3 linked regions of the Lonchura striata genome follow. The protein of the gene in region 2 purifies or fractionates together with the protein of the main gene of each other region. This does not show direct contact. Links are inferred from orthologs where the notes say so. Each region holds a gene or a part of one and is shown on either strand. Other genes may lie near its edges.

Region 1 (7,001 bases), on a different chromosome or scaffold from region 2:
GGGGGCCTGGACTCTCAGGAACACTGTAGAGAGTGCTTTTAGTTAGATCTAAATGTAACACTACCAGGAAGGGAACTTCAGCTTGGGAAATGATGTATTTTAATGACTACAATTCCTGAAGTCTCCTTTTCATTTGGAAGATGAAATGCTAGCAGCTAGTTAGCTGAATGGTTGCTGAAATATAAGAGCATTTTAGATGACTTTAAATAGTTTTGGGGAAAAGAGGATCATTGAACCAAACTGACAGAGAATGAAAAAAAAGTCACATAGACATGATTCCTACAATGTTGCTATTTCCCAGAAATGACAGTATTTATATGCAGACATACATACAATATCCATTCAACAATGAGTTTAATCTCTGTTTACATTTTTTCCCAGTTATTTGCCTCAGAAGGTTTAATTATAAACACTAAAATTATATAAAGTTCAAATTTCTATTAATAACCACACTAAAATAGTATTTTACTCACAATATAGCATTGTTATAACAAATTATTTAGAAAAATCAAGCGGAGCAGGAATGTGATTTAAATTCTTAGAGCTCACCTTTTCCAAGGAAGAGTTCATTCATGACATCTAGCGGGTAAAGTTAGTATTACTTTTAACTTACAGAATAAAGGCAAACGCGACCAAAAAAAAAAAAAAAAAAAAAAAAAAAAAAAAAAAAAAAAGCAGCAACAATTTACTAAAAATTCGATTGCTTGATTGCAGTTGATGATGCTAAGCAATTGCCATTTCTACTGAAAAAAAAAATGTTAGTATGTAGTGCAGCTGAAAAACAGTTTCACCTTAAGAAATAATGTATGCACACTATTCCCCATGTCCTGCAAAAACAATTGGAAGGACTCTCCTTGCCAGGGATGTTCTTAACCATTTCCAAAATAATAGAAGGGCTGTTCCTTTAGCCTATGATTTTGTTAATTTTGACAACAAAGCAATACGCACAATAACATGCTCAAGAACTGGATCTTAACAATTAACTTTTAGGATTGCAACATCTGCATTTGGTTCCTCTCTGGTACACAGTGAAAGTTGTGTCTCTCAGAACCAGATTAAAAACCATACGCACGTTGAAAGGAACACACTCAGGACCCAGTCATCAGCAAAAGCAAAACATGTGGTTGTGCTACAAACCTTGCCTAATGCACACTAGCAGAAGCCACAAAAAGAAAAGTATCTGCTTCCCCAGGGACCTTTTAGAGATCTTCACAATGAGCAGTAATTGGGTAAAGGGCAACAGTTGCTGGAATTGGGCCCACTTAAGGAGCTAGCAAAACCACTAGATGACAGAATCAGCCCTAGAACAAAGGTTTCTTAATTAATTTTTGTGCAGCTGCACAGACCAAATGGTCACAGTAGTGCCTAAAGCCACAGCAGGTGTGATTTGGCACCTTTTCAGGAAGAAATAACTAAACCTGCATCTCATGTCTTCCCAGGAGTCCTCTATTTGTATTCTCTTTCCAAGGAGATGCCATCAGTGACTCATGCACAGTGCCTGCTCTTGTTTAAATGCCTTAAGCATGTTTTGAGTACTCCTGCTGTAAGAAACACTCAGGGAATTTGACAGAACACTTAATTTTTATATAGTAAAAATATCTAGGAGAAGATAGATAGGGAAGAAGTTGAGCAGTTTGAGATTCATAATTCAATAGTTAGGACTCACATCAGAAGCCTTAAGCATTTTTAGATCTGGCCACAGTTCATTGAAAAAATGTTTACCCACAGCTGAAATATATGAGAAATTACTACTTTCATAGTTTACTAAAATATTTTTGTGGGTTTTACTAAATTATCATAGATACAATTTTGCTTATGACCTTATCAAGACAGTTTTTGTAAACTATGTGCTTAATGTAAAAATAATAAAAGTAATTATTTGCAATCAGTCATTGGGGAAGAAGATTGCTCAAGCTGGAGAAGAAAGATGATTCAGCCTTTCCATACTTTATATATATAATACACATTATAGTAATTGGTCTCATTTATTGACATGCCATGAGAAAGACAGACTCACAGATACACTATGTGTATTCTGAAATCTTTTGTATTCTTTATACTCTTTTTAATTCACTTGTACTTACTTGAGTAAAAATATTACTTCTAAAACTACATCAAGCCATACAATATATCCTGTATTTTCCTGTAAGTATGGAAACACATTATTTCTCTCAATTAATCTTTCTTTTCTTAAGATTTCTATAGAGCTGTAGATTTACATTTGAGAAGTCATGCCTAAAAATGTCCAACTATTAACTATTACCTGAAATCAAAACCAGATATATTTTTGAGAATACGTGTTTATTATTGGGACATGTAGCAGTTTCACAGTTACTGAGACCACTGAATAAAATTGAATGTACCACTGATAAAAACCAGTAACAAGCTCAGTAAGTCACTTATGTATCTTGTACACATATGAAATACAATACAACTTTCTACTGATCACAGTCTTCAACAGAAAAGCCAGGGTTTTGATTATTTTCTTTTGGAATAAATATGTGCAAATTAGAAAATTAATTTTAGGGTTTGTAGGCATTTCTGTTTACCACATCTACAGCAATCCACTCCAGTTAGTGTAGGCCAGTCAATATATAGTATTTTCAACAGTGAGACATCTATAAGCTGGATCTTCAGAACATAAATGGAAAAGTATATACCTTTGAGGGTTTCTAGAAAAAAAAAAAAAACCATTACCAGACCAACTGTAGAGTCTTCTCTGCTTAAATAGCCTTTGCTATCTTCATTGCACACTTCAAAATCCTGCAGAAAGAAAGTGATTCACATAAAAAAACCAATAAACCTAACCTAGGATTTTTTATTTTGCAAAACTGTTATGGGGGAAAAAAAGAGGCACTTGTTGAATCACTTCTATTCATCTACTCTGTTCCAGTAAAATTGAAAGTGGGAGCACATTCAGTTTGGGATTTTAGGTTAAAATAAAATTTTTCATACTATTACATTTTATGTGCTTATGATGAAAAAGCTTTTTGCAAACTTAGACTACATAGTACAGACTTATAGGAAACAAATCACATGAAATTTCCTTCTAGCAGACTATACTTTTTTTTTCCTGAAAAATGCCAGATAACTTTAATTCTCAGTTAAGTCACCACACAGACAGGAACTATAAGGAGAGAGTGCAATGAAAGCATAGTCAGAAGCCATCAAACTTTCTGAGGTACTTGCAGAAAACAAAAAAACATTTCCAAAGAGAAGAGACTACACAGAGAACATACAAAGCCATCCAACGTTCCTAAGAGCTTTTCCCACAGAACACCTTCAGGAAGGGTTAACAATACAGCATCATATCGTACAGCAGCAAAGGGTTTACCCACAGAACATTTCAGGGAAAAGTTACGTACGACTCTGCGGACAAGCACTGAGAAAATTACACAAACCAGCGGAATTGTCAGGAAAGCTTTTCCTGGAGTAACCTGCCGTTTTCATTGCGTGTTGGCACTTCCAGAATTTGTTAACTGCAGCCACAAGCTTGCAACAAATTAGAGTAAGGAGAGCCGAGCGCTCAGTTCACCGCAGCGCGCTTTGATGCGGGCCGCGCTCCTCCTTTGATTAATATCACACCTGCTTTCCTCCCTCTCCTTCCCGAACTCCTCACGCACTTATCTCATTAGCGGGGCACTTCAGATACAGTAATTAACACCGCGCCGAACGAGCCATTATGCAAATTCCGCACCTGCCCATAATTAATATTAAGGTCCATGACGGCTGGTTAGAATAATTCAGCTCGCCAAGCCTCGGCCGCCCTGCCGCGGCGGCCCCGGAGCGCCTCGCGGCGGCCCCGGAGCGCCTCGCGGCGGCCCCGGAGCGCCTCGCGGCGGCCCCGGAGCGCCTCGCGGCGGCCCCGGAGCGCCTCGCGGCGGCCGCGCTCCGGCGGCTCGGGGCGGGGCCGGCGCGGGCGGGCGGGGCCCGGGCCTGCTCTGGCTCTCGCTGCCCTGCGCGGGCGCTGCCGGGCGCCGGCGGTCGGTGAGCGGGGTGAGTGAGTGAGTGAGTGAGTGAGTGCTGGCGGCGGCCGGCGGGCTGCAGCCCCGCAGCGGCTGTCGGGGCTCTTTGCCGCGGCGCCGCCGCGGGCGCTGCCTTCGCTGCGGGGCGGCCGCGGCCGGGCTCCGCCGCCGGGGCTCGGCGGGAGGCGCGGCGGAGGGGCGCGCTGCGGGCGCGGGGCCGGCGGAGGAAGGCCGCGGTCCCGGAGGGTTCCCGCGGGGCCGCCCCGTGCTCCTGAATCCGCTCAGCAGACGCCTCAGCCGCGGGGAAATACCTGTGTCGTGCAGCTCGCACCTCTGATTTTTGGAGTGCTTTCTCATAGGAGTCTGTGTCTTATCCCGCTTTCCATGTGTTGGTTTTCACATTTGCTGCTTCCCATTTGATGGTTGCCACCATTGCACGTGTTTCTTTGTTTCCCGGGCACAGAAACAAGTCGTGTACGGTATGAAGTTTCCCAGAGAACCTGCCAAATACCAAAGCACGGTTCTTAAGTAATAAACAAGTAGGAGGTAGGAAGGGAGACAGACTTGAGCGTAGCAAAAACGTACAATTTTTGTTTGGTGTTTTTTCATTCCTAGGAACATGCTTCAGGAAGGTGCACACGGTAAATGGACAGTATCTAGCAGCGATGAAAGTGCTGATGAAAATTCTGACAGTGAAAAACCATGTACATCTTCACTATCAGATGCTACATGTGGTAAAACAAGTGGACCACAATATCCATGCTCTGAAGCTAGGAAAGCTGCTCTCAAGAGAAAAACTTCTCCCCTGAAGTTCACTGATAAAAGTCTTTCTACAGATGCACCTCCAGCAGTAAAACAGAGACCAAGCCAAGAAGGCTCAGGTTGGTGTCTTTCTAGTAGCGATGAAGAGCCTGAAGATCAGCAAAAGCATGTTCACAAAGAAACAGTGAAAGAAGAAAAATGTGATATGCCTGAAGAGCATCCTCTGAATCTTTGCAAAGATGACAAACTCTCGGAGAATCTGAAAGAAGAGGAGTATAATGTAACACCCAGTGAAGCCCAGGATACCTGGGATTTGGTGACTGGAGGCAATCCTTTCAGGTTTTTTCTCACTAAAGTCAGTGGAATTGAACAGAGCTATAATTCTGGAGCCCTGCACATAAAAGGTGAGCAAGTGTCTTCTACTAGAAGAGGGCTTTTGGGAGAAAGCAAGAGAATGCTTATTTTTGGTTTGTGGGTATTTTTAAATGCATGTATTTCTTAGTGTTGCTGATATTTCATATTCTAAATGGGCTGGTTCATAGAAATTGTTTCTTTTATTTGGGCCTTTCTCTTTCAGAGGTATAAAACATTATTTGCTGATACTTTGTTGTAACTTGAATTAGGCGGCAGAAATATAAAGTGTATTTAGCCAAGACAAATCATGCTGCTTCTTACTGCTGCTTTCTTTATGAGCTAGTCTGGGGAAAACCACTTGTGGCATTTAAAGGGATGCTTTTCTTGGGTGCATAACTCTGAGTAGTTGTTTGCACCTGCCTCTGTGCTGTTGATTGGTTTGGACCTAATAATTCACTATTAATAGGTGAAGTACTTCTGAAGTTCTGTGTCTGGGGTTCATGTATCTGTTTAAATTCAGCTGTGAGAGAGCTGTCCATCAGTCAAGATGGAGTGGAGCCTTTGGTGTGCAATACTGATGCTTTAGGAATGCTCTGTTGTCATTTGATGTTGGGGGAAGAGCTTTGTGCACCTTTAAACATCCCTGTAGTTAGAAATAAAATTTTATACATCACAAGACAGAATCAGAAACAAGTATCAGTAAGAGAATTGTGTACAGAAATACAATAAAATAAAGCAGAAAAAAATAGTAGTTCTTTGAGGGAGAAGAAATTACTTAAGACCTATATATACAATTAGGTTGTAACTTTTCCTCAACCTCATGCCTACTAGCACAAGCAGGCGTGAGGGACTTTAGAGCTTTAGTCCAGGATGTTTTTATATGCTTTGTGAATTTGTGGCTTTTGGACTGTCCTGTCCTGGGAGTCCTGCTAGGTGATTAGTTGAGCTGGTGGACAGGCAATATTCTTTGTTTAACCAGCTAAACCAGCTTCAGTTGTGGTTATAAATCCCCAGTTGGATTAGTTTCCTGTGCTACTGTGATTGAACTATGAATACACATATCCCACAGTCAGTCTGCAGCAGATAAAATAAGCATTGACTTATTGCTTTTAATACTTAAATAAGCATGCCCTTATTGCTGCCACCCTGCCACAGTTCTTCAAGTCCACTCAATAGTGGAGAGAGTAATTTAATGGCCCTTTCTCAAGATGTTGTTGAACTTTTTCCCTATCAGCTTTTAAAACTTGTTTAATACTTTGAGAGGATTATTAATTTTTGTAAGGATATGATCCTAAATGATTCACAGGGGAGTCAGTGACTTGAATACTTAGAACAGTAAACTTGTGAATGCCTCTGTTACACCAGGTCTATGAACAATCTGGCCTTTTTGCTGTGGTATCAAGCTGTTCAAGATGCAAAACATTTACTTGACGTCTTTTTTATTTATTTGTGCTTTAATATTTTTAATAGATATTTTGTCTCCTCTTTTTGGAACTCTCGTATCTTCTGCCCAGGTGAGTTTCCTGTTTGCCAAACTGATTTCACTTGCTTGCTTCACTTCATTAATCTTAAACTTGATAATCCATGCTTGTGCTACATAGCTGCTATTAACAGGGAACCTTGTTAAAATACAGAGGGAATTCTAAATATTTTCAACTGTTGAACAATTTACTGAATATAAACACTGTCCTATGATCTGCTGTAGAATTCAGGGAATTATAAGACTACTTTCTCCAGTTTTTGAGGAAAGTGAAACTGAGAAGCATGTATTTATGCTCATATAAATGAGGATTTTTGAAAGAAAGAACACCTTGCAATTTAGGAATAATATCTTTGTTATTGCCTAGAAGTTTTGCTATCATTGATGATATAAACACATGGCAAAGAGATGATCCTTCAACCTAAGCTTTTACATTATGT
Region 2 (7,600 bases):
GTTGCAGTTAAAAATCCTGCTGAACAGCTTTACAATCTGCTTATCATTCAAGTTGTAAACTATTTTAATGACACCTGGTAACAGCATCTTAATGGTGAGGTATACATCACCATGAAAACCATCTGGAAAAAAAAAAAAAAAAGCACATTATAGCAGTGAGGATTTATTTTCATGTCCAGGCTCTGGCTGGCTGTGTCCAAACCCTGGGGATAAAATCCACAGTTGTAGCTTGGAATTCTTAGGGAAAATAGCCACAATTTGCCTCTAAATCTGACCTCAGCACTAAATTTGGCACCTACAGCACCCAAGTGAGTAATTTTTGTCTGAATTTACTATTTAAGGAGTTCACTTTTCAAAGATTACCACCACAGTTCAGAAATCACCACAGCACAAGGCTAGGACCACACAACAGATCTGAATTTCCCCTTTCCTTTAGAGATCAGCCTTTGAAACTGATTCTGAGAGAGCTGAGAATTCCCAGCTGGAGCCATACCTCCTGCAGATCCCTTCCTGAGGAAGTCCTGGATGATCTGAGTTTTCACATTGTAGCTTGGCTTTTCAGCCACCATGGCGCAGAGCTTGCGGAATTCCCGCAGCAGGCAGTCCTTGTGCTTGGGATCACACCTGGCTGCAGACAGGCTGGGCTTCTGGGCAGGGTTTGCAGGGGCATCTTCTGAATTCTTGGGCTTAGCTGCATCAAACACACCACAAGTTGTTTTTAACAACACGGAGCAAATGTTGAAATTATCTCTGCCTGGCAAGCTGGGAACAATCCCAGTGTGCTGGCGAAGCTTCAGAGCTAAAATTTATGACTTTTATAAAAACCTTCCAACTATGACTTTTATAAAAACCTTCCAACTATGACTTTTATAAAAACCTTCCAATTATTTTTACCCTTCACATCACACCAGAATTTCCTAGATCTTGGTTCTACCAGAAAAGTATGGCTAAGTCATGGTGAAAATTAATTTCTCCTTCCAGATGCCTCTGTTTTAGAGATTTTTTTTTCTATTTTATGGGTTTTTAGCCTTCAAAGCAAAACACTTCTCTAAGGTAATTTCTAAAATTGGGGAATACATCCCCATCCTCTCCTAACACCAATCCCTAAGGAACTGATGTCTTTGGCTCTGCTGTGGCTCCAGGTGGGTGTCAGGTCAGTCAGAGCTCACAGATGGAAGATGGACTGTCCTGCTCCTCAGGACAAGTTTTCCATGAACACAACTGAGAATCCCTCAGCAGTTTTTTTCCAGATTTTGAGCTCCACGTGGGATAACTTTAGCCTATGTCTTCAGTTTGACTGCAATGAGCCAGTCAGCCTGACAATGTGGGTCATAGCAGAACCTTTGTTTCCTTGGGAAAACTGGAGATCCACACATCTTTCAAGATGTTCTTTCAAGACTGACAGCCTAAGAAAGCACTGACAAACCAGAATCATCTATAGATAAAAACCTACTGATCTGAGCCAAGCAGAAACACCTCTTGATGCTGAGACTAAAAAAATGAATTTCTCAGAACCATTTCTTAATTCTTACCACTGAATCCAGAGAATTTCTTTGGTGGATCTTTTGTGGTCAGCTGTCCTGTGGCAGTGAGTTTTGCCTGCACTATCACCTTTTTCTTTGGGGTACCTCCAGTCTTGGAATTGGCTTCTGGAAAGCAGAAAGGTTCAAAGAGGCAGTCAGGAATAATCTCATACATCACTCACCATATTATGTGGCTTACAAAGTAAAAAGCCTTAAAAGAAATGGGAATTGGAGGAGAAAAAAAAGATGTTTTTCAGGTAACAAAAGTTAGAAGAATATGTAATTTATTAAAGATCACAGAAAAATGTGGAAATGGAAAATAACTGATGATTCACCATGGGTTTTATTTGCTTATGAAATAAATCACATAGCTCTTGTCCAGAACTAGTTGTGACAAACGAACTGAGGAGTGTCACTGCAGAAGTGACCATTTCTTCCCTTTCTTACACAGCTGAGGCAGGGGCTGGAACAGCAGCACATGTTTTGTCCCTAAGCCACACAAATAAATCCACGAGGATTTAATGGCAAAGGCACAGCTGGTAACAACCTCTGGCATAACCTGAAAATAAGGAGGAAAGTGACCCTGGAACTGCCTCGTGCCTCACCTGAGATGTACTTGTTGATTGTTTCTTTCTCCTCATCCTGCAGCTCTTCCCACCCCTCCAAATCTGTGATATCCTCAATTTTCTTAGTAGTGGCCCGGGCTTTGTCCAGCTTCTCAAAGATGCACTTGACATGGTACCACTCCTTCATGTCCCCTCCGGACTCGGTGAAAGGATTGGGAACGATCTTCCCGATGCGCACCATCCCCTTCACGATCTTCTCCTTGCACTTCTTGCAGCCCGCCGTGCCTCGCTTGGCATAGTCCACGCAGTACCGCTGCTCTGCCATGTCCTCCGCGGCCGCGCAGGCCGAGCGCAGCGGGGACAGCGGGAGCGGCAGCGGGGACGCGCCGGCACCTCCGCGCTGCTTCGGGGATGGCACAGGGACAGGCTGGAGCAGCAGCTGCCACCAGCACCCGGGGCTGCCTCCGGCGGAGCGGGAGAACGCTGCGGCCGAGGGGAGCTGCGGGCGGGGGCAGAGCAGCGCTGCGGCCCGGCCGAGAGCGCGGGCGGCGTGTGACAGCGCCCGGCCGCCCGCGGGCATCCAGTCCGCGCCGAGGCTGCTGCGAGCGACACAGGCGACACTCAGCACCCCCTGCCCGCCGGGACCCGCCCAACCCAGCCCTCACCCCCGCTCCGCAGCGGCCGCCACCGCCCGCGCTGCGCTGCCCCACAGCCCGGCCCCTCACGGCCCCCTCCTCGCTCCCAGGCCTCTCCCGCCACAGCCTCGCCCCGAGCCCGCTTTCCCGCCCTGCCCTCCCCGGCGCGACCACGGGCTCCCGCTGCCCCTCCGCCGCTCACCGAGCTCCTCACGGTGCCGCCATCCCGTCCCCCGCCCCGTCCGGACCCCCGGCTCGCCCGCAGCCCCTCAGGCCGGGGCCGCCGCCTCAGCCGCCGCCGGGACACGAGCGCGCCGGCCCGGCTTCCGTAGGGCCGCGCGCGCCGCCCGGCCCCGCCCCTTCCTGCCCGAGCGGCGGCCGCGGGGGCGCGCTCAGGCCACGCCCCATCGGCCCGTCTGAGCCCCGCCCCCAGCGCGCGCCGGGAGCGTTTTCCCGCCTCGGGCGCGGCTGAGGCGGCGCCGGGAGCGCGCCCGGGGCAGCACCGGGTCCGTGCCCCGAGGCGGCACCGGGAGCGCGCCCGGGGCAGCACCGGGTCCGTGCCCTGAGGCGGCACCGGGAGCGCGCCCGGGGCAGCACCGGATCCGTGCCCTGGGGCGGCACCGGGAGCGCGCCCGGGGCCAGGGAGTGTCCGTGCCCTGAGGCGGCACCGGGAGCGCGCCCGGGGCAGCACCGGGTCCGTGCCTGAGGTGGCACCGGGACCGCACCTGGGGCCAGGAAGAGAATCCAGTGCCCTGGATTCGCACTGGGTCCGTGCCCTGGGACGGGACTGGGACCAGGACCAGAGGTGGCACCGGGTCCTCGCCCTGGGACAACGGAGAGTTCCCCCTCCATGAGGCGATCGATGGAGGGACTGTGCCCTGAGCTGGCAGCGGCTCCCCGCCCCGAGGTGGGGAAGGGTCCGTGCTGTGGGGCGGCACTGGGACAGCGCCTGGGGCCATGGAGGGTTTGTGCCCCGCTCTGTGCCGTGAGGCAATGGAGGGTTTGTGCCCCGCTCTGTGTCGTGAGGCAATGGAGGGTTTGTGCCCTGCTCTGTGCTGTGAGGCAATGGAGGGTTTGTGCTCCGCTCTGTGTCGTGAGGCAATGTAGGGTTTGTGCCCCACTCTGCCATGAGGCCATGGAGGGTTTGTGCCCTGCTCTGTGCCATGAGGCAATGGAGGGTTTGTGCCCCGCTCTGTGCCGTGAGGCAATGGTTTGTGCCCCGCTCTGTGCATGAGGCAGTGGAGGGTTTGTGCCCTGCTCTGTGCCATGAGGCAGTGGAGAGTTTGTGCCCTGCTCTGTGCCGTGAGGCAATGCAGGGTTTGTGCCCTGCTCTGTGTCGTGAGGCAATGGTTTGTGCCCTGCTCTGTGCCATGAGGCAGTGGAGGGTTTGTGCCCCGCTCTGTGCCATGAGGCCATGGAGGGTTTGTGCCCCGCTCTGTGCCGTGAGGCAATGGGGTTCTGCACCTGCGGCAATGGAGGGTCTCTGCCTCAGGCAGTCCCAGGTCCGTGCCCTGAGGTGATGGCTGGTCCCCCCCACAGGGCTGACTCCACTGCAGCAGTGTCCCCTGCCCTGAGGTGATGATGACTTCCCGACCTGCCAAAGTTGGCTTTTCCAGAGTACTGGAAAAGGCAGGTGTGAGCGGTGCCCTGTTCCTGGCTGAGGCACACTGGTTCACCAAGAGTGCTGTGCTGCATTAACACAGCTTGGAGGTGCTGATGGATCACCTGGCCATAGAAGTGGTCCCTCCAAGAGTTCTAACACCGTGTTTGTGCACTGAGCCACTGCTTTATCCCCAGCCTCATGAAGCTGTCCCTTCAGGGGTACTATGCCATGCTGGTGCAGGTTTGAGATGCTGCCATATCACCTGGGCCCTCAGTACCTGCACAGGCCTGAAGTGCTGCCCTTATAATCTCTTAAAATTGTCCTTTGCACTGTGTTTGTGTGGGTTTGAGGTGCTGCTGTACCACCCCAGGCTCCTGAGAACAGCCCTTCATCCCAGTACAGGTAAACACACACCTGCAGCCCAGCTGTTGGCTCTCTGCTGGTGGCAGCCACCCCTGTTCCTCTGGTGGAAGTGCTGTTGTGCTGTGCCAGGAGGCTGCTGAGGAGGCTGGAACAGATGCAGTACACAGCTCCACTGGATTCCTACCTTCATCCGTGGAAAGGATGCTGTGTGGGTTGACATGGCCAAGTCTCTGACCTCAAAGGCAGAATGAGACATAAGGTAGAGAATTTGCTTCCCCAGCCACATATCTGTCTTTTTGCTGGCCTCCAGCTGGTTTTAAAGCAAGCTACAGGCAGTCTTCTCCCCAGCACATCAAACAAACCACACTGTTTGGAGCTGGGAGTGAGTGTAACAATTGTGCCTGGTCACAAAATTGGGATGAAATCCGACATAGGCATTTCTGATCACTGGGATCTGGCTGTGCACAGACAGCCTGCATTCATTTGCAATATTTTACATTGCAATATTTACTCTCAGGCAATGCATTCAATCCATAAGCTCATGATGGAAATGAACCTTCCTGTCCCTCATGGCTCAGAAGTGGAGGAAACCGCAAAACCAAAGAAACAAGAAAGCTCATCCAACCAAATCCAACTGGGAGCTTTGAGTCACAAAAGAGGAATTGCAGAGGGATTCACAGAGGTCTTCCTGCTCTGGACTTTATGTGGAAGGCACCCAGATGACCACCACGCTCCAGATTTTTGGCTGAGTGCATTTGGATTAAAATTTTAATGTGTGACTTCAATGTGATTTGATTTTTAGTAGTTCAGATTGCTTTGAGAAATGATTTACAGAACCAGCAGTGAGTGGGTGCAGGAATTTGTATGAACACAGGGATTTTAGAGGGGAAGAAAACAAAAACCAGGTGAAGATGAGGTGTTCAGATGCTGTGATGTGCAGCGTTCAGAGAGAGCTTGCTGGGAGCACAGAGTTCATGGCACCGTGGTGAGGTGTCCCATTCATTGTGAGCCTGGTGAAAGAGATGGAAAGGCAAGGGCTGACACTGCAGCACCTCATGATCAGGTTTAAATGATATATAATAATAAATAAGGCAACTGAGCAACCTGGCAGTTGTGGGATCTGCTGCCCTAACTCTAAAAGTCAGCTAAATGAGCTAAACAGGCAGAGCCTTCAGGCAGCAGAGAAACATTTCAGAAGCCTCAATGAGGTGAGATGAATTGCTGCTGGCTCCTTTCAGCCTGGAGGGGTTTGCATGGCAGCAGGGACAGGAGGGGAGTAGGAGGCTGCCCCTCTGCAGAGTGGTGCAGGACTGGAGATTGATGGCCGGGCAGTGAGAGATGCAGCGAGCACAGGCAGGTGGCAGAAGGCTGCCGTGAGAAACTGGGAGTTTTAGATAAATTTCCTCTCTGAGAAACACACACAAATGCTGGTTTGGGTTGTTTTGGAGAGGCCTGGGAATGACAGCAGCAAAGCTGGTGCACTCTCAATGCCAGTTTTCCTCCTCTTGAGAAGGAGATGAAGACTCTGCAGCCCAGAGCATTAATTTTGCTGATTTTCTAATGTGGCTCCAAAGGAATTGGTAGAAAGTTGAACCTTGTTTCTTTGTAGAATCATAGAAGGGTTTGGGTGTGAAAGGACCTTAAACTCATGCAGTTCCACCCCCTGCCATGGGCAGGGACACCTTCCACTATCCCAGGTTGCTCCAAGCCCTGTCCAACCCAGCCTGGAATGCTTCCAGGGATGGGGCAGCCACAGCTCCTGTGGGTACCCTGTGCCAGGGCCTCCCCACCCTCACAGGGAACAGTTTCTTTCCAATATCTACTGTAAATCTACCCTGTTTCAGTTGGATCTTATCATCTTTTTTTGTGGCTAACAGCTCTGAGATGGCATTAAGAAGTGATAAGAAAGTTCCAAGTGGCCTGTCAGGCCCTGATTTTGGTCACTGCTCCTAAATGTTCTCTGCAAGCACATTCTTCCCCTGAAATCAATGTGAATCCACTGTTCTTATTGTGGGTGGGAAGGTTTGTGTGCAAGGGGAATAATTAACATTACTTCGTGGTTCAGTTGAGGTGTTGGGGCTGGGCTGGACTTAATGATCTTGAAGGTATCTTCCAATCTAGTCATTCTGTGATTTCTGTGAATACTTTGGGTTTTAGAGTCTTATTGGAATGAACTCCTTCAACTCCCCTTTTGGCTGGATGTACCTTCAAAAAGCTGTGAGTAGAACAATATGTCCAGTGAATCTATCCACAAAACCACAGGTCACTGAGTTCACTGATGGAAAATCAGGAGACAAATCCCTGCTCCTTCACCAAGGATCAGGGAGAAATCACTGCTGGAGTCTCCCTTGGTAGCAAATACTGGAATTGCTGAGCTGAGCCTCTTACCATAATGTGCTCTCTATGCAAAAGGCAGCAATGACAGAGCAGTAGAGAGGCACCCACGAAAGCAGAACTCTGTTTTAAGTAGTTTATTCCACTAGCAGCAGGAAGATAACACCCAAAAAGTCAGATTTAAATGTCTAAGTCTGTCCTTGCTTAAGCAAAGCGGCCATCAGGAGTTCTGTCAGGAATTAAGATATATATGAAAGCAAAATAATGGTCTCAAGTTTTGCTTTTAGGCTTTTTCTTCAGTGTTAAGAAGGAAAAAAAAAATAGCTTCATCCTAAACCAGGGTTGAAAATAGTTCATAAAAAAAGGTTCACCTTGTCCAGATCTTCTAGGGATATCTTAAATTAATGGAGTTTGGACTAAAATTAAAGTTTCCTTGCAAGACTTCTGTCAGAGTTATATTCCAATGAATCCAATCTTCTTGGTATTGAGAAAATGTCTGGAATCTCACTAAAATCAAATAAAAGAAGGAAGATATTTAGAATTTTAATAACCCCAGTGAACAAATATATCTCCCTC
Region 3 (7,250 bases), on a different chromosome or scaffold from region 2:
AGAAGGAGCCTGGGTCTGCAGCAGCTACACAGTTACAGCATCACTTGTGCTGCACTTCCCTCACAAATTAGACACCTATGAAACAACTAGTTACAACTGTTACATGTAACAACTGTAACAACTGTTACATGAAGTAACAACAGCAACTATTTCTGAAGAGCAACTGTAGTTTTAGCAAATTATTTTTGTGCAATCAAACTGTGTTGTAGGCAACCTACAGAGATTGCTTGACAGATGGATTTTGCATCATCATGTAGGTGACCTTACAAAAATTAGGAGTCTTCAGCAAAATGCTTTTGGTTAATGTATATGCACAAAACGGGTTTTAGGAAATCAGCTCTCTTCTGTGACTGATGAACTCAGAGTTTTTGCTAGCTTTGTCACTGCCATACCTGCATGCTTCACAAGACAGTACTATACCTCTCACTTGGAATTCACTGCAATGAAGCACACACCTGATTCCAGCCAGGATCTCTTTAGTCTACAGCTATGCAGTTTCCCTCAAGTCAAGGATGCTTCCCATCAGTGAATAAAGTATCAAACAACTGATCACTGGAACCTTGTGCCACACATCTCTCACCTGGGGAGCAACTCTTCACACACACAAGCAGCAGTACCAGAGACCTTTCCCTTCCTATTCTCTCAGAGACTGGGTTTTGTAAAGTGTGAGGGAATAGGCCTGCCTCCATCCATCTGGTAACATTCCTGCAGGGCTGTCTTACATCCCATCCCTTCCTATAAGTAACCACATCTCTGGCCCTATCAGTCCACCAATAAAAATGTTCTACAACTGCATAGTCCCATTAACACAAGAACTTCAACCTTAAACAAAGGGCTGCCTCAGCTTATGAAGTTTAAGGCTCAGGAAAAAGATAAGCAAGTTTAGTAGAAGAAGTCCAAAGTCTCTCAAATGCAGCACCCAACAGAACTGATTGAGTACTCACAACAGCATTCCCTGATGCTACAAATCTGGCTGTGTTAGACTGGAATGTATCTGGAATGAATAGTGCAACCTCTCACTGAGGTGCACAAATAAGAAAATACACTTGCTGTAACTTCTCTTGGTGATAAGAAAACTTCAGGTCCCTCAGACACCGTGATTAGAATCACCACTTGGAGCAGTTGTGGAGTTAAGTACAACTGTCCCAGTACCAGAAATATTGGAGATCCATGCATAAAAACATACCTGTTTAACTGTGACATAACCCTTGTTACAGTCTGCTTTTAACTGAACTGGAAAAGAAAGAACAAAGTGTCACAAAACCATGTAAATAAAAAGAACTCTGCTGAACCACCCAGTCCAGAAAACACTCCTCTTTTTGAAGAGCCATATCTTTCTGGAGCTAATCTTTGTGAATGCATGCCAAGAATATTTCTGCCTCATCTCTTCATACCTCTTCTCATACCACAGGTAAAACAGAGTCAACCCATACACTGAGCCAAGGGTGGAATTACTTTGGAACAAAGGTGGATTCTGTTGATATTTATACATATGCTTGACATTCTAACCAGCCCACTGGGACAATAAGGCATAGAGCAAGACTGTGTCCAGAGGCACAGAATATAACACAGGGAAGATGTGCAGTATTAAATAAGTGATAGGTATTTTCATATATTCTCCAAGATCACATTATTTTACATATTAAATAATAATTATGCTAAAAATCAGTTGGTGGAATACTAGGGAGAAGAAGTGCTGCTCATGAAGTGAGCAGTGAAACACAATTGTGGGCCTGGGAACTCACAAAAAGCTTTTGTATGTGGAGGCGGACGTCCTGTCTCTGATTTTGTAGGCCCCAGAGATCCCCATAAGTGCTTATTAAAAAGGCTTGATGACTTCAAGAAGCAGGCAACACTGCAGAACACACAGAGGAACAAGGCACGCTCAGTTGCTGCTGCACGTGGAAAGCAGGATTTGAGCTAAATCACCTTACCTTGCTGACGTGAACACTTCTTATCTGTTATCCCAGTCTCTGGGCCACGCCCAATTACCACAGGTTCCAAGTGTGGCAGTTTCACCCGCTGAGTGCATTTCTCTTTGCTCACAAGCCAGCACATACGCATCACTGTGCTATAGAGCAAAATAAACAGTGTGTTACCAACACGCCACTTTCTGATGGGCTACCTTGCTGTGGAACATGGTCCATGAATTCTGCTACCATTAGGTTAGCCAATTCTATTAACTTGGTTCAAGTTTCTGAAATGCAAAGCAAACCATGTCACCAGCACTTGCATAATCCAAGAGCAGGTTGCTGTTTGAAAGGGCAATACTGTTTTCCTTCCTACACTACCATACATTCTCACATCTGTGAACCATATATAGGAAAAATCAATTTTATTGACAGTTCCATCTGACAGAAGAGCCTAACCACAAAAAACGTCACTTTGTTTCCCACTGAATCAGAGTTCACCGAAGAGATTAATTTAACAACCAAAATAAGAGAGAGCAGCAGAAGACAACACATGATGAGAGAGTTGTGACAGCTTCATCCAGCAACAGTCAGCACACGGACCATGCCATGTAACCTTCAAGCTTACATCAGTTTGACCCTGGTAAAGATCCCTCATGAGCTCTGCACTGGAGAGCTCATGCCTGCGGAAAGCAAGGCTCGGTCCCCAGTCTAACGCTGGCATGCCACACACCCATCCCCACGGCACACGTCCATCCCCACGGCACACACCCATCCCCACGGCACACGTCCATCCCCACGGCACACACCCATCCCCACGGCACACACCCATCCATCCCCACGGCACACGCCCATCCCCACGGCACACACCCATCCATCCCCACGGCACACACCCATCCATCCCCACGGCACACACCCATCCCCACGGGAACATGCCCATCCCCACGGCACACACCCATCCCCACGGGAACATGCCCATCCCCACGGCACACACCCATCCCCACGGGAACACGCCCATCCCCACGGCACACACCCATCCCCACGGGAACACGCCCATCCCCACGGCACACGCCCATCCCCACGGCACACACCCATCCCCACGGCACACACCCATCCATCCCCACGGCACACACCCATCCCCACGGGAACACGCCCATCCCCACGGCACACACCCATCCCCACGGCACACGCCCATCCCCACGGCACACGCCCATCCATCCCCACGGCACACGCCCATCCCCACGGGAACATGCCCATCCCCACGGCACACGCCCATCCCCACGGGAACACGCCCATCCCCGTGGGCCCCGTTCCCATGGCAACGCCTGACCGACCCCTCCCCCTTACCGCGCGCGTGATGTTCGCGCCGCCGCAGCCGCCACTGCAGCCAATCAGCTGTGGCAGCGTGTCTCCCACGTGACTAGAGGGAGGCGCCCGCCGCGGCGCGTAGCTCCGCGCAGGCGCACTGGGCCCGCGCACCCGGGGGTGGGCGCTGGGCCCTCACAAAGGGGCAGTGCCGGCCGGCCTTGCGGCGGCGGAGCCAAGTCTGCGTAGGGTGAGGGGGGTAAGGCGCGGAGCGTTGCCGGAAGGCGACGGCCGGGCCGGCGCTGCGTACCCGGTGCTACTCAGAGCCTTCGAGGGCGGGAGCGGCCGACGGCGCAGGCGCAAGGCGAGGCGGACGCTGGGCAGGGACGGCGCCGCCCACGCGGGGCGGGGCGGGGCCGCGCTCCAGATCGGCGGCGGAGGCGGGCGCAGATTGGCCAAGCGCCTTCCCCTCCTGAGCAGCCATTGGTGGGCCACTCGCCCGGGCCCTGCGCGCGGCGGGGCAGGACTTCCGGGGCGGGGCCGGCTGCTGAAGCGGCGGGGCTGCGGGCCCGGCCCGAACTTTCCAGAAGAGTCGGGATCGGAGCTGCGCGGAGTGGGATCCGCGACCGCCGCCCCGGGACCCCCGTGCCGCCACCGCCATGGTGAAGGAGACCACCTACTACGACGTGCTGGGCGTGAAGCCCAACGCATCCGCCGAGGAGCTGAAGAAGGCCTACCGCAAGCTCGCACTCAAGTACCACCCGGACAAGAACCCCAATGAGGGCGAGAAGGTCGGCGGGACGGGACGGGCCGGGGCGGGGGGGGCCGCGCGGGAGGGGTCGGGCGGGAGGCCCGCCGGGGGTGCCGCGGGTGCCTGAGTGCCGGTGCTGTTCTTTCTGCAGTTCAAGCAGATCTCGCAAGCTTACGAAGTGCTGTCGGACCCGAAGAAGAGAGAGCTCTATGACAAAGGAGGCGAACAGGCTATCAAGGAGGGTGGCTCCGGCGGCGGCTTCGGGTCACCCATGGACATATTCGATATGTTCTTCGGCGGTGGAGGAAGGATGCAGAGGGAGAGGCGAGGTAACGTGTTGGCGAGGGTATCAGATTCTCTGAGGGGAATGCCTTAGATGTAGGAGTTTAAACAGAAATTATAGACTTAATCTGAAAATTGGAGAAAACTCTTGTCCCTTAACACCTGAAACACCAAGGGAGGGCCCTTGGTTGGTGTGGTGGTAGTTGGGTATCCCTGTGCACTGTCCCCTGTTAATCGCTAAAGCAGGTGTGTTCGGAGTACTTTTAGCTTGAGTGTAAGCCCAGCTGCTAGTAGACAAAATAGGAAATGGAAGGGTAAAGTAGCTTAAAATGGTTTACTAATTAAGTTACTGTAACTGTAGTATCTAAAAGCAACTATCTAAATCAGATATCAAGATCCAGTTCAGTCTGTGAAATTTTTCTGTGTTCCTGCACTGTGCAGTGGAATTAAGTTGAAACTGCGGTAAAATGCTACCCAGAAGTTAAACTCCAGTTTAATCACGCTGGGAAAAACTTTAAAGCTGTTAAGAGCAGTGCTGAGCCTGTCACCTCTTAGTGAAGATCTGTTGAAAAGATGAAGAAAAAATGTTTTGTATCAAAATGTTAAGAGTGTCAAAGTACTTGTAATAACCCAGAGCTCAGCATCATTTACAAAACTAGGCCTACAGCAGCTGAAGTGCTAAGGAGTTCTTGAGGGTAAAAATATAATTGCTTATTTTTGCTTCCAGAAGGTCACCTGGTGAGAGGAAGGAAGTGCTGAAATGGAGATTCCAAACAGAGTCTCTGCCTTGTTTGTAGATCTTTTTGGTGACTTTGTTGAAACCTGAGTCCTGCATTATAAAACTTAAACGTTTGAGGTTCTGTGTGTTCTGTTGCTCATACTTGTTTGTACTTTTCCAGAAGGTCTCTTCTGACTTTAACAAAGTCAAAGTCATGACAACTGTTACCTAATATGACAGCACCTGGGAAGAAGCTTTTGACTAATACAAGCAAAACAAGACAAACCTCTATCGATACAAGATACTGAAGCCCAGAGACTTAGTTTATCTTGGCTTGGCAGGGAGATGTGCCAACCAAGCTTCTAAACTTTAATTAAGTTCTGTTCTTTTACAGGTAAAAACGTAGTCCACCAGTTGTCAGTAAGTTTAGAAGATATGTACAATGGTGCGATGAGGAAACTTGCACTGCAGAAAAACATTATCTGTGACAAATGTGAAGGTAATGTTGAAACTGAAATTAAAGAGATGTTTCTAAAGCTTTGGGGGATTTTTTTCTGGTAGCACATAACCACCTAACTCCATTTTTTGTTCTCAGGTCGTGGTGGTAAGAAAGGTGCTGTAGAATGCTGCCCTAATTGTAGGGGAACAGGCATGCAGATCAGAATTCACCAGATTGGGCCAGGAATGGTGCAGCAGATCCAGTCTGTGTGTATTGAGTGTCAGGGGCATGGGGAGCGTATCAGCCCCAAGGACCGGTGTAAGAGCTGCAATGGCAGAAAAATTGTTCGAGAGAAGAAGATACTGGAAGTTCACATTGACAAAGGTGAGGTGTCTTACTGAGGTGAAGTATTGAACTTGAATGTACTGACTGACTTTGCAGCACTAAAACAAAAGCTTTAGCAAATGTGGTGTTGATTTTGTGAGTAATAGTGCTGAATACACAGTAAAATTGCTTACTGCTGCCTTACAAAAGTAGACTTATTTTCTAGGGAAGGTCCACTATCTCTGTTCACTTCTAAAGCCTGGCACATAACTAAGAATGAATTCTGAAACCTGCGTTATTGTAAGAAGTGAATTATTTTTCAGGTCCCTCTAAGCCCAATTTGTGATCAGGTAACACAATCAATTTTCACTGCGTGCAGCAAAACTGCAGACTGATCACTTCCGCTGTGTTTCAGTGTGAAGGGGAGCCAGGTCTGCTATAGTGGCAGGGTGCACAGACAGTGCTAAGGCTCTCATGCTTAAAGCTCTGTTGACTACGCAGCCCTGACAGTGCTGCCCAATGCAGGTACCACTTCCTTGCCTGGCAAAATGCACCTCAATACACAAACCCTCAACGTGATGGGTGAACGGAATGGTATTGAATGACAAATGCATCTCTGTTGAGGGGGCTGCCCAAAAGCTGGTGGGAGAAGTCTGGAGTAATGCAGCTTGTAAGGCAGAGCACGCTGACAAGTACATGACTTAAACGGTCTTGCTTGTGATTATGGCCTGCAGCTGTTACATGTGTAAGCAGAGCTTCTGCAGCACCTGAATTTGTAGGGGAGATCCATAGTGGTAGTAAATATAAGGTCTAGAAGGGATGTATTACTGATATTTTGAACAGGGAAGTCTTATGAGAAGGATGTTTTTATAGAAGTAAGGGAAAAGATTTATGTAGGATAAGAAAGCTAGTATTTTTGTTCAATCGATTTCTTGTGTGGGTGAAACAAGTTTCTTATGGGAGGTTTTCAGTCCATAGGGAATGCTTCTTGGACTTGGCAGGCAATCAGATCATTCTTCATAAGGAGATGCGCTACATATTTATGAAAGTGAAGAAGCTGACTGGTCAACTGCTGTTGAAATAAAGTTTGTACACAGTGTTTGATTTCCTTTTTGTACTTGTGTGTATAATGAAAACTGTTTTGATTATATTTCCCTTTAGGACTTTATGTTGGTAGCTCTTTTGTCGGTGCAGTTAAACCTGATGGTTTTGAGACTGCATTCATGTTAGCACTGCTAAGATCTGTTAAATAAGTGAATGGATTTTAAAAAAAAGTTTCAAGGGAAGATCCTGATGTTCTTACTTAAAGATCCAGAGATATCTTGATACCAGCTCATGCCTGTAAAAGTGTTAGTTGTTGCTGCTTTTATCTTAAAAATAAGAAAATGGTTTCTTTGTTTTGTACAATAGGAATGAAGGATGGCCAGAAAATAACATTCCATGGTGAAGGGGACCAAGAGCCAGGTCTGGAACCAGGGGATATTATTATTGTCTTGGATCAGAAAGACCACTCTGTATTTA

The links.
Region 1: the proteins of LIG3 (region 2) and TDP1 purify together in Homo sapiens (affinity purification with mass spectrometry; 4 studies listed by BioGRID and IntAct, with this or other methods). This does not show direct contact. The link is inferred for Lonchura striata from reciprocal best matches to the Homo sapiens genes LIG3 and TDP1.
Region 3: the proteins of LIG3 (region 2) and APTX purify together in Homo sapiens (affinity purification with mass spectrometry; 3 studies listed by BioGRID and IntAct, with this or other methods). This does not show direct contact. The link is inferred for Lonchura striata from reciprocal best matches to the Homo sapiens genes LIG3 and APTX.

Annotation. Positions count from the first base shown.
Region 1 is NC_134608.1:17,272,534-17,279,534, reverse strand, and holds the start of TDP1 (tyrosyl-DNA phosphodiesterase 1), read left to right. Parts: upstream 1-3,914; 5' UTR 3,915-3,996; intron 3,997-4,580; 5' UTR 4,581-4,584; coding exon 4,585-5,131; intron 5,132-6,551; coding exon 6,552-6,595; intron 6,596-7,001. Other genes in the region: EFCAB11 (EF-hand calcium-binding domain-containing protein 11), read right to left, coding at 2,661-2,769, 3,698-3,724. UniProt on the Homo sapiens protein: DNA repair enzyme that can remove a variety of covalent adducts from DNA through hydrolysis of a 3'-phosphodiester bond, giving rise to DNA with a free 3' phosphate.
Region 2 is NC_134622.1:6,057,917-6,065,516, forward strand, and holds the start of LIG3 (DNA ligase 3), read right to left. Parts: upstream 3,033-7,600; 5' UTR 2,927-3,032; intron 2,721-2,926; exon of another isoform or gene 2,689-2,720; 5' UTR 2,670-2,688; coding exon 2,129-2,669; intron 1,650-2,128; coding exon 1,533-1,649; intron 692-1,532; coding exon 494-691; intron 123-493; coding exon 1-122. UniProt on the Homo sapiens protein: Isoform 3 functions as a heterodimer with DNA-repair protein XRCC1 in the nucleus and can correct defective DNA strand-break repair and sister chromatid exchange following treatment with ionizing radiation and alkylating agents.
Region 3 is NC_134642.1:48,009,887-48,017,136, reverse strand, and holds the start of APTX (aprataxin), read right to left. Parts: upstream 3,088-7,250; 5' UTR 3,087-3,087; coding exon 2,905-3,086; intron 2,871-2,904; exon of another isoform or gene 2,870-2,870; coding exon of another isoform or gene 2,739-2,869; intron 2,072-2,738; coding exon 1,935-2,071; intron 1,234-1,934; coding exon 1,187-1,233; intron 1-1,186. Other genes in the region: dnaJ homolog subfamily A member 1, read left to right, coding at 3,875-4,006, 4,118-4,295, 5,361-5,465, 5,562-5,789, 7,140-7,250. UniProt on the Homo sapiens protein: DNA-binding protein involved in single-strand DNA break repair, double-strand DNA break repair and base excision repair.